Neurospora crassa OR74A: one gene and its partners. The protein of the gene in region 2 binds, or shares a complex with, the protein of the main gene of each other region. Links are inferred from orthologs where the notes say so. Each region holds a gene or a part of one and is shown on either strand. Other genes may lie near its edges.

Region 1 (3,423 bases), on a different chromosome or scaffold from region 2:
TAAGCAGGTGCCAAGACCGTTGCAACGGAGAGAGTTGCAAACGCGGGGAAAGAAAGTTGGGGAAGTTCGGGACAAGAGGAAGCAACGGTACGTTCGGGAAGGTGAAAGCGACGCAATAAAGCACATCGATCCGCGTCGGTCGGACGAGAAACTCGCGCCGCTTTGGCGAATGGCAAGGGTTTGGTGATCCTTACCTCCGCATGTCGCCGGACCCCACGCCGACTGCTGAACAGGGATTGAATAATTTCTCACGGCCGCGCTCGGCAGCCGGTGACGGGCGGTCTTGAGGGCGTTTGACAGTCCGGCAGCCATCGATGCGATTGTCGATCTCTTTCTGATGAAGTGTACGTATTGATGGATGAGGGGAGGAGGGTCTCGATACTGCCGGGTGGGGGGGGACAGGACTCCCGGAGATGCCGTCAAAGGTGAACGGGAGAAGAACTTGTCGTTGATGGTGCGCTGACTCGCTCCGAGAGTACCGAGAGGACGGGATGTGATTTAGGGCTGAGTCCAGTTTATGTCAGTTGGGTTGGGTTTTCAAACCGCATTCGACACAGCAGACGCAAAGACACTATGAATGGGGGGGGGGGGGGGGGGGGGGAAAGATAGCACGCAGAAGAACACACGAACTTTTTTTTTTTTTTCTTTTTTTCATCAAATGTAGCAACCCAAACTGAACTAATGAGCTCCGAAACAGGAGCACGGAAAGCGGTGTGGTCTAGAACTTTTTGTTACAAAAGAGTCTTCGTTCCGGTCCGGTTTTGCTCCCGCGATCCATTTCTGGCGGGGTCGCAGAGGTCCGAATCGAGACTACAGTCTTGGTACAGTATGGAGAGTCAATCAAACAAATGCCATATTCTGATTCGGACTGCTATCCGCCAGACGAGGCGGTATCGCTGAGCTGTTTCGTAGCCGCCAAGATAAGCTGCTGCTGTGCTGTGCTGCCTGACAAGCCAACGTTAAATCCGGGCCGTTGTATTCTACCTCTAGAGGTAGCTGCGGCATGTGTAGGACCAGTGGACTATATCTAGTATCCAGGAACTATCCTTTTCGTCGACTTACACAGTTCCCTTCCAGCGCCTTGTTGGCGGGACGGGCATGATTACAGCCACAGTGCTGTCAACGGTCACCATGTTGAAATTACGGTACACAAATATCAAATTTATGTTCTTGAATACATCTCTCTCAGTGTACAAGCCCAGCAAAGGTGTTGATGTTGTCAATAAATTTGTGTGAGATGTTCTGATAGATATCACGCCCGTTGTGTTTTGGCCAAGGCCTCTGGGGTTCCTCGGTGAGCTCTCAGCTCACTACACTCAGCTTGTTCCTCACCTTGCCTTCACCGATCCTACAAGTACACTAAACCGCGGGCAGCCACCTGCCAAGCCCAGCTAGGAGCGCACACGACCCACCCACAGCCCCACCACGGCCCACGCACCCCCGGCGGGCCGGCAGGCAAAATCTACAATCGCAATCGCAAGAAGCGCGGACGACCCGACGTCGATTGGAGAGCTTCCGGCGCAAAGACCGTGCTCCGTGAATCCGCCCGCCCTCCGCCCGCAGTTTGCGAACCTCTCCGTCCGGACGAGCCCCAGCCCGTCGCCCGTCGCCGTACCGCACTTGATCCAGTCCAGTCCAGGCGCGCCGTTGCACACCACAACAGCGCAACAAAAGTCGTTCAACATGGCGAAGAAGGGTAATCGACTCCATCCTCACCCGTGTGTCTGCAATTACTGCTTTGTTTTCCTAAAGGGAAAAGCGATGCAATGGGGAAACCGGAAACCGAAAACAGAAGACGATAGTTGCTGATAGGTAAACAACAAACAGCCAAGTCCCGCATCATTAACGTGCGCCTGATCTCAATGGCCATGACGGGTTATTTCTACACCTTCACCCGTCCCCGTACCTCGCTGCCTATGAGCATGCTGAAATACGATCCGATCGGTATGCGCATATCCTCTCCCCTCATTCCTATCTACCTCTTTCGCTTCCAACCACCTACATGATTGATTCGGCGGACACGACGACACGGGCATGATATGGAACTCTTTTTGGTTGCGGGCTTTCTCGATTTGCACGATTCGAAACACCCCAATACGCTTCGTCGAACGGACCTTGGGAAGCTCGCTTGGGACTGGGACTAGGACTGGGATCAGGCTGGGACGCAACAGTTCAAAGACTCGGACGATGGCATAACGTACGGACCTTCGAGAAAAGAAAAAAAAAAAAGCAACCAGCCAACCAACCGGCCAACAGAGAAGAGAGGAGGGGACGGAAGAAACACTTGCCTACGACAGACAATTTTTCCCAATCACGGATCTCGAAGAGGAAGGAATACCTACTAACCCTTTCGCCTCTCCACCATAGTTCGCCGCAAGGTCCTCTTCCTCGAACAGAAACGCAAGGGCAGGTCATAGATCGTTACTCGCCCCCGGGCCTAACGACCGTCGAACGACCGAGAGCCAGAGCGAGAACGCGGAGCCTGCGATACGGAATCAAAGAGCGTAGCGGCGAAGCAGCGACAAGTAAAAAGCTACAGCACCCCCTCCACGGATTACCACGTCACACCAAGTTACGATTTCGACCGGGTTGTGTTTCAAGCAGATCACCAGCAGACAATGGCCAGTGCTGGCGAGTGAGTTGGAGCTGGAGCTGGAGAGGGGGGTGGACCGGACCGGAACTGGACTGGATATATGGAGAAGAGAGGCGCAAGAATAAGATGGGGTCCCTCGTTCCATCCAGTCTCTGGTCGTGTATTATTACTGTACCACCGATCCATCAGTATATAACATCACCCTGTGAGTTATGGATTGGCACCATGGAGCGTTTGTTGCTTCTTCGCTCTACCGATGGGCCAGGTTGATTAGAGAATGTACAAGTCAAGAGATAAGCACAACGCCCCTCGGCCGTCGGCAATGCTGGGCGTGACCCAGGTTCACTGCCAAGTGGCTCTCCCTTCTCTTGTGTTGTGTGGTAAGGATAACTCTTCTATCGCGATCAGACAGTCTGTCATGACACCTCGACATCTTTGACTTTTCTTGCCATCGTACATCGCTTTATCTCATCTTTCTATATTTTCGTGGAAATCAAACTTTTCATTAGTCACAAGACCCGTCTCCCAACATTTTACAGGCGTTCTTTCACACTCTTCTCGTCGTATACATATTGAATCTCAATTCATTCGAAACACAGTCTCCAATCCACACAAATACGCCATGCATCGACATATGGATCATAACTTATTCCCAGGCGGAGGCAGAGGCAAGTCATCTCCGTCTTCTTTGTTTGCATTCTGCGAGAGGGTCATGGAGTCTTGGGTCTCATCATTGGCGCCCCCGTATCGCGAAAGTGGCTGGGACTGAGACCGTGATTGGGACTCGCCGTTCGTTTGACTGACCGAGTTGGTGTTTTCCGCAGGATCAA
Region 2 (3,764 bases):
GCCTCGCCTACAATTCCTGCTGTTGTGAACTGGGACTACCAAGGATGTGCCAGTGACTCCAACACCGCCGCGCCTACTGCTCGCGCGCTCAATGGCACCTACCTATACGACAGCGCCGGCATGACCATTCAAAAATGTCTTAACTACTGCGCCCAGCAAAACTACCCCCTCGCCGGCCTCGAGTTCCAATCCCAATGCTACTGTGGTCTCGAGTTCAAGCCCGGCTACAGCCTCGGCCAGACTGGCTGTAATCTCACCTGCGCCGGTGACCCATCAACACGCTGCGGTGGCCGCGCTCGTCTGGACGTCTTCAGACAAACTAACTACGTGACGCCCCGGCTCGTCAACCCGTCCGTGGTTAACGGGCGCTTGGCGACGCCACAGGGTTGCTTCATCGACAACTCAACGGCTCGTATTCTCAAAGCTCACTCGTACACCAACAGCACGAGCATGACGGTCGAGATGTGCCACGAACGCTGTCAGTCGAGGGGCTACAGTCTCTTTGGCGTGGAGTTCGGCAAGGAGTGTTACTGCGGCAATTCGCTCGCGGACACGGCGGTGGCGGCGTCAGAGCTGTATGAGTGCAAGAGGTCGTTCTGCGTCGGTGATAAGACGGAGTTCTGCGGTGCTGGCTCAAGGTTGTTGCTTTACAGTATTCAGCCGGCTGGGACTACTTCTCCTGCTAGGAGGAGTATAGAAAGGAGAAACGAGGGGATGGTGAAGGTGAAGTTACCCAATTTGGGCAAAGATGGGGAGTCTGATTATGAGTTGAAATGGGATGGTGATGGGGGTGTGGGACAAGTGAGAAGAAGCGGCTCTGGGCGGAAGAATATTGAGAGGCGATGGGGACGTAGTCTTGGACGGTGATGATGATACTTGGATGTTTTTTCTGTTTTCTCTTTCTTCCCCGTTACATACTTTGTTGTTATTGCTAGACATGCTGATAAGGTGTGCGCGGAATGATGTAATTATTAGTGGCTCGGAGGATACTTCGAGCAAAGGAAGCGTACGCATATACAAGTGTCTCCTAATCTAATCATACATGTCGTCTTAATGTGTTGGAATCCTGATCTGAATCGCTTATATTGGTACAAACATAGTGATATATTTCCAAATCCATGCTTTATTTAGAGTTCATCAACCACATCAGATGCATTCTCAGGGGTCCAGGAACGCTTTCAGGGGTAACAGACTCATATCCCTAACCCCAAACTCATCCAGCTTTGGCCCGTGCTGCCAAGCATTGGCCCCGGTTCGAGACTCCGCAGAGGCTCCAAAAAAAATTCCGGCGGGCGGCACAACGGGGACCGGCACCTCTTCGAGCCTCGACGCGGGACCAGGACCTTGCGCTTGCCGGAGAAGGAACCTCGCTGCCCTCTGCCCGTCCGTGACAGACCTTCGGCCCCGATTTCCCGCGTGCGCCGGACCCTCTTCCTCAACCACCACTCCGAAGCGACAACCTCCACGGTCGCCAATTCCGAAACCAGAGCGTCCGCCCGAACGCCGGTTTCTTTTTTCGGTATCCTAATTCACCATGGCCAGTCTCCGCGGGGTCTCGCGATCGGCTCGCGCTCTTCAGCCTTTCTCTGCTCAGTTCGCCGTCCGAAGATGCGCCTCGACACAAACTGGTGCCGGCGCTGCTGCCGCTACTCCCAAATCCAACATTCCCGACCTCGCCGAGCTTGAGACACGGTCGGCATTGGACGCTCCCATCCCCAGCGAAGAGGACAAGAAGGAGTTCAGGCCATGGAAGCGCGCGGCCGACAGGAAGGCGAGGTTGCCTAGCAGCAGGTGCGTTATACACTCTCCCTCCGTCCCGTGGTTTACATAGCTAGCCACACACATGTATATATACATACATATACGCAAACCATAAACAAGATGTTTAAACGTTGCTAACCACCATGCCTCACCTCCTACCGAACAGATACCAATACCACCCCCCCAAGTACAACCGCGGCCCCCTCCACCCCATCCAATCCCCTCCCTCCTCCGACCCTATCGCCCGCGACTTCGTTCCCGGCCCCTTCAACATGCCTCGTCTCAAGGAAACCTTCCGCACCGTCATGGCCTCGGACCTCATGACCCTGGCCTACATCCACACACCCCCGGGAACGCCCAAAAAGGAACCCACGGAGCGCTTGCGTGCCTGGGAGGGCGACTCGCCCTACTTCGCCAACCGTGCCCGCCGCGCGCCCCGCGGTGCCCCCGAGCTTCCCATTCGCGAGCGCGACATTTCGTTCCGCAACATCCCCGAGATCAAGGAAATCACCGTCTCCACCTTCGTGCCGCTCGGTCTCAAGAACCCGGACTTGTTGATTGTGGCCCGGGCGGTGCTGCTGGCCATGACGGGGACGATGCCGGAGATGACGAGGTCCAAGAACAACGTGGTGCAGTGGCAGCTGCAGGCGAACAAACCGGCTGGTTGCAAGACGACGATTTACGGAAACGCGGCGTGGGAGTTTATGGATCGGTTGATCCATTTGGTTCTCCCCCGGATCAAGGATTGGAAGGGCGTGCCGGCGAGTACGGGTGATGGAAGCGGTAATGTGCAGTTTGGTTTGAATCCGGAGGATGTTCAGCTTTTTCCCGAGGTGGAATGCAACTATGATGTGAGTTTGTTTCTTGGGAAATGATGGGTGGAAGAGAAAGAGAGGACGGAGGAGAACAAAAGTTTGGAGTTGGAGCCGGAGCCGAAGCTACAGTAGGGAGGGTTCTGGTTCCGGCTCTGGCTCCGGCTTTGGCCCTACCGTCTGCTTCGTCTTCTTGTTTTCTTGGACTTGACGACAGATTACTGACTTTCTATCCTCTCCAGATGTACCCCGCCAAGATGATTCCCGGTTGCCACATCGCCATCAAGACGACAGCCACCTCCGACAGGCAGGCTAAGCTTCTGCTCCAGTCCCTCGGCGTTCCTTTCTACAGCAACTAAGCGCCAAACGGGCTGTTGATCGTGAGAGGTTGAGAAAGGGACGAGATTCAAGGAAGGGGGATGAGAAGATGATGAACAACATCTCGCATCATGATAGTTGTTGGATGACAATTGAGGAGGATGAGGAGATGTGTGAAACTTGTACAATACGAATACACTAACCACATAAGGACGATGTATGTTGGGTGTATATATACCTTTTGTAACAACATCACGAGGAGGAGGCTTATAGACGAAGTGGAAAGGAAACGGAAGAAGAACAATACCACCGGGTCTGACGGTCAAAGATCAAAGAAGTAGAATCACAAATGCGTAAAACAATTGGAAGGGTGTCATCATTGCGTGAACTGGATTGTGTAAACGGACATCGTCAAGGGTATCTGCTTCATAAACAACTCCCAAGTCTAGAACCACATATCCATATCCCAGTCTAGCTTTGCACAGAACAGGTCAAGATATTATGACAACAGAACCCATTCGTCTTGATCAACCAAGGATCTCCAAACAAAAAAAACCAAACGCCTTTTCCAATGCCAAAACCAAAACCATATCTTTTCAGTCCCATTTTCCTTTCATTTGGTCATCCCCATCATGAACCCCAAACCCTCAACCTACTCATCCCCTTAGACAGCTCTAAGCAGACTTGGCCTTGTTTCTCAAAACGTCAATAACCTCATCCACTTTATCCATATCCGCCGCATCCACCTTGGTCCCGTTGTTCACCAAAACCTCATGACCGCGCTTATGCATCTCGTCCGCCGCGACATCCATAGCCGGCTGATAATTCCTCACCGCACTGCTAAGCGCATACGTAGCCTTGCGCCTCACCTTC
Region 3 (3,137 bases), on a different chromosome or scaffold from region 2:
GGGCTGGTCATTACCTCTCATGTCCTTTTCGCGTTCGAAAACGACAAAAGCATAGCCACGATGGGGCTTTTTCTTCTTGTTTGGGTTCTCATCGGCGTGGGTATCTCTGATGATACGGATCTGTTTTTTGGTGTCAGTTCTTGTCAATTAACACACACATAGCTGTGAAATCATGATATAGGAGGAGGGGGGGTTTGCAAACTCACACGCTCGATAGGACCGTAGCGGCTAAACTCGCGCTCGAGATCCTGTTCATCAGCACGGTAGTCAAGACGCGCTACTATCAACGTCTTGAAAGCATCTCCTCTGATGTTGGGATCGTCATTAGGGTTGTCTACAGATAAACGCCATCGGTTAGCAAGCCGCACGACAGCAAGATCATGATCAAGTAAAGGAGTAGCGAGCACAACTGCGCGTAACGTTGGGGGTTTGCCGCGTACAATTCTTGGGACCCTCGGTCAACAGCTTCTCCAAAGCTTCCTTCTTCTCGCGCTTCTTGCGGTCGCGCGCCTCCAGCCAGCTCTCGGTGGGATGGTACTCGTATTCTTGCTCGTAGGCCTGCATGGCAGGAAGGAAGTCGGCAACGGGGGTGATGAAGGCCGACTTGCGCTCTTCGGGAGCAACATCGCAGGGCGGCACCCAGCGCAGAGGTGGCCGGGGCGCAAAGAGTGCGAGGAGGTTAGGCGGGAGCCGGTCTGTCATTGTCGCTTCACGTTGTCGCTGTTGTAGCTGGTCAAGTGGTGTTTTTTTGTTGATCTTATCTGTCGTCGAATTATGAAATCGATATGTCGGAAACCAGGAAATGTAGGTCGTCTGGCGTTTGATCCACTGTTCGGAAAGCCGGGCGAGAACAGTTCAATAAGGCTGAACGCTGTTACTGTTTGCCAATTCTTGTGATGGCGATAATGTGGTGTTGTCGGTTTGCGAGAAAGGTCAAACCCGCATTTTCGCGACTTTGCTTGGACAGCTGAAGACGAGAGACAGAGGGTGGGAGGCGGGAGCAGCAAAGGGCCCTGTCTGGTGTTGTGTCGTCCACTGCCTGGCAGCCTCGCAGCGACTGGAGCTCTTGCTGGGCAGCTTTCTCGCGCGCTCGACCACCGAACGACTGAGTGCGAAAGAGGGACCGTGCACCCTTAGGTCGTCTTCGTTATCACTACGCACACACCCAAGGAGGAGTGCAATCGCGTGAAATTGATTCTGCCAACCGCTTTTGCAGTTGGGCGGGTCCCCCACCCCCAGTGCCGTGCCGGCGCGCGACGGGGCGGGAGTCTGGCAGAAGTTCAAGTCGCACCCGCCCTCCGGATCATGAACCCTGGTGGACTCGGACTTGTTGCAAGGCGAGGACGGCGGCGAAGAAGAAGAAGAAGAAGAGCATCACAACAATGACGGTAAAAGCATTGACGCAGATCTCCTCTGCCGGCCGTGTAAGTTAGACCGCAGCCTGAGCAACTAAAAACTTTAATTTTCAGAAAAAAAAGAATGCTAATCGTTGATTGTTTTGTATCTAGAATGGCGTCGGCGCATTCGTCTTGCAGTGCAAGAAGTTGGACATCCACTACAGTGACTGGGCCGGCAGCTCCCGGGGCATGAAGTACGTTTAGGATTCTTCGAATATGGACATCGCAACCTCATTCCCGATCGAACATCTTTCACATATACCAATACCTCTACACGTCCAACCAAACCGACATCCTCCCAAGATCTCGAGACCATCCCGCCGTCCCCGACCATCCATCCATCCATCCATCCACCACTACATACCCTTTTTCTCGTCCCTCCTCGTCCCTCCTCGTCCCTCCTCGTCCCTCCTCGTCCCTCCTTATCCCTCCAGTCTCCCTTCGCGACCTCAGCAGACAGACTCTTTCACTAACACTTACTTCTTCCTCCATCTAGCGGCTTCATCAAATCCCTCCTCCCCAAATTCGCCGCCGCCAACCCGCAAATCGAGTTCGTCGTCTCTCCCCGGCCCGCCAAGCACCCGATCCTCATGGGCCACTACATCAACGGGCGCACCAAGGCCATTTGCGTGCGCAACATGGAGCCGCTCGAGATCCTCAAGAAGGCCGAGCTCCTCCGCGACGCGAGCGGCGAGAAGCCCCAGAAGTTCAAGAAGCCCGTCACCAGCACGAACCCCAGTGTCAGAGGTGTCTGGTCGCCTTACCATGGGCAGGGTATGGCTGTATAAAGCGGAAAAAGGGGGAGGAGCAGGTGCTGGTGCTGGTGCTGGAATGGACTGGATCGGTGCTGGGCTGGATTTGGTGCTCGGCCGGTGTTGGCTCGGTTCAGTACCAGGTGGATTGTATATACCATGTTGAATGTATGAATATGAATTGAGGACATGAAAAGGGTTTCTGGATGTATCAAGGGTTTCGGTTTGGCTATATGGTTGTGATCAAGTCCTTCCAGAGCTATCGAGTTCCCATGATGAGTTGCCCCAGTTCCAAAGAATCTGACATTATCTTCTGGTGCTTGGTGGTTGACTGTTGATATTGGAACTTGGGATGAACATCTAAGAGCGAATGGAGGAGCCGCGGAGTTGCGGTATCTGGTGTCACAGAAGTCATGAACGGGCTACATGAAGCGAAACTACGTTCTTCAATCCCAAATCGAACAAAATCAGGACATTTAACTATTTTATATTTTCGCCGTGTCCTCAACACCATTTCCCAGCCTATATGATTGCGGCTGTAGCAAAGCTATAACTTTTTATGGGCAAGTAATTTACAGGTTGGCGTTGATGATGTCCACGACTGCATCATATCATGTTAGCCATCTTTCTTCCTCTCGTTGCAACAATGGCAGGTAGTACTTACACTCGGGCTTCAAGCTGGCACCGCCAACAAGGAAACCGTCAATGTCCTGCTCCTTGGCAAGGTCCTTGCAGTTCTTGGCGTTGACAGAGCCACCGTAGAGGATGCGGGTCTCCTCAGCAACCTTGTCGCTGACGTTCTGCTTGAGCCAGCTGCGGATGGCGGCGTGCACCTCCTGGGCCTGCTCCTTGGTGGCGACGAGGCCGGTGCCAATGGCCCAGATGGGCTCGTACGCGATAACGACGTTCTTCCAGTCGTTGATCTCCTTGGCGAGAGCGGCGAGCTGGTTCTCGACGAACTTGATGGTCTCGCCGGCCTGGCGCGTGT

The links. Proteins that work in one complex are often made in the same cells at the same time.
Region 1: NCU04171 (region 2) and NCU17114 share a complex: the UniProt entries of both Schizosaccharomyces pombe proteins name them as parts of the mitochondrial large ribosomal subunit. The link is inferred for Neurospora crassa OR74A from reciprocal best matches to the Schizosaccharomyces pombe genes mrpl7 and mrpl39.
Region 3: NCU04171 (region 2) and NCU07549 share a complex: the UniProt entries of both Schizosaccharomyces pombe proteins name them as parts of the mitochondrial large ribosomal subunit. The link is inferred for Neurospora crassa OR74A from reciprocal best matches to the Schizosaccharomyces pombe genes mrpl7 and mrpl51.

Annotation. Positions count from the first base shown.
Region 1 is NC_026506.1:2,292,501-2,295,923, forward strand, and holds NCU17114 (hypothetical protein), read left to right. Parts: upstream 1-1,394; 5' UTR 1,395-1,683; coding exon 1,684-1,696; intron 1,697-1,827; coding exon 1,828-1,944; intron 1,945-2,367; coding exon 2,368-2,417; 3' UTR 2,418-2,923; downstream 2,924-3,423. Other genes in the region: ala (alanine aminotransferase), read right to left, coding at 195-312; NCU03974 (hypothetical protein), read right to left, coding at 3,233-3,423. UniProt on the Schizosaccharomyces pombe protein: Component of the mitochondrial ribosome (mitoribosome), a dedicated translation machinery responsible for the synthesis of mitochondrial genome-encoded proteins, including at least some of the essential transmembrane subunits of the mitochondrial respiratory chain.
Region 2 is NC_026505.1:5,079,365-5,083,128, forward strand, and holds NCU04171 (mitochondrial 54S ribosomal protein YmL7/YmL5), read left to right. Parts: upstream 1-1,259; 5' UTR 1,260-1,534; coding exon 1,535-1,791; intron 1,792-1,927; coding exon 1,928-2,612; intron 2,613-2,815; coding exon 2,816-2,932; 3' UTR 2,933-3,264; downstream 3,265-3,764. Other genes in the region: NCU04170 (hypothetical protein), read left to right, coding at 1-867; NCU04172 (hsp70-like protein), read right to left, coding at 3,566-3,764. UniProt on the Schizosaccharomyces pombe protein: Component of the mitochondrial ribosome (mitoribosome), a dedicated translation machinery responsible for the synthesis of mitochondrial genome-encoded proteins, including at least some of the essential transmembrane subunits of the mitochondrial respiratory chain.
Region 3 is NC_026503.1:4,406,055-4,409,191, reverse strand, and holds NCU07549 (mitochondrial 54S ribosomal protein MRPL51), read left to right. Parts: upstream 1-1,201; 5' UTR 1,202-1,382; coding exon 1,383-1,424; intron 1,425-1,508; coding exon 1,509-1,591; intron 1,592-1,893; coding exon 1,894-2,185; 3' UTR 2,186-2,637; downstream 2,638-3,137. Other genes in the region: NCU07548 (hypothetical protein), read right to left, coding at 15-120, 207-334, 441-702; NCU07550 (triosephosphate isomerase), read right to left, coding at 2,722-2,750, 2,814-3,137. UniProt on the Schizosaccharomyces pombe protein: Component of the mitochondrial ribosome (mitoribosome), a dedicated translation machinery responsible for the synthesis of mitochondrial genome-encoded proteins, including at least some of the essential transmembrane subunits of the mitochondrial respiratory chain.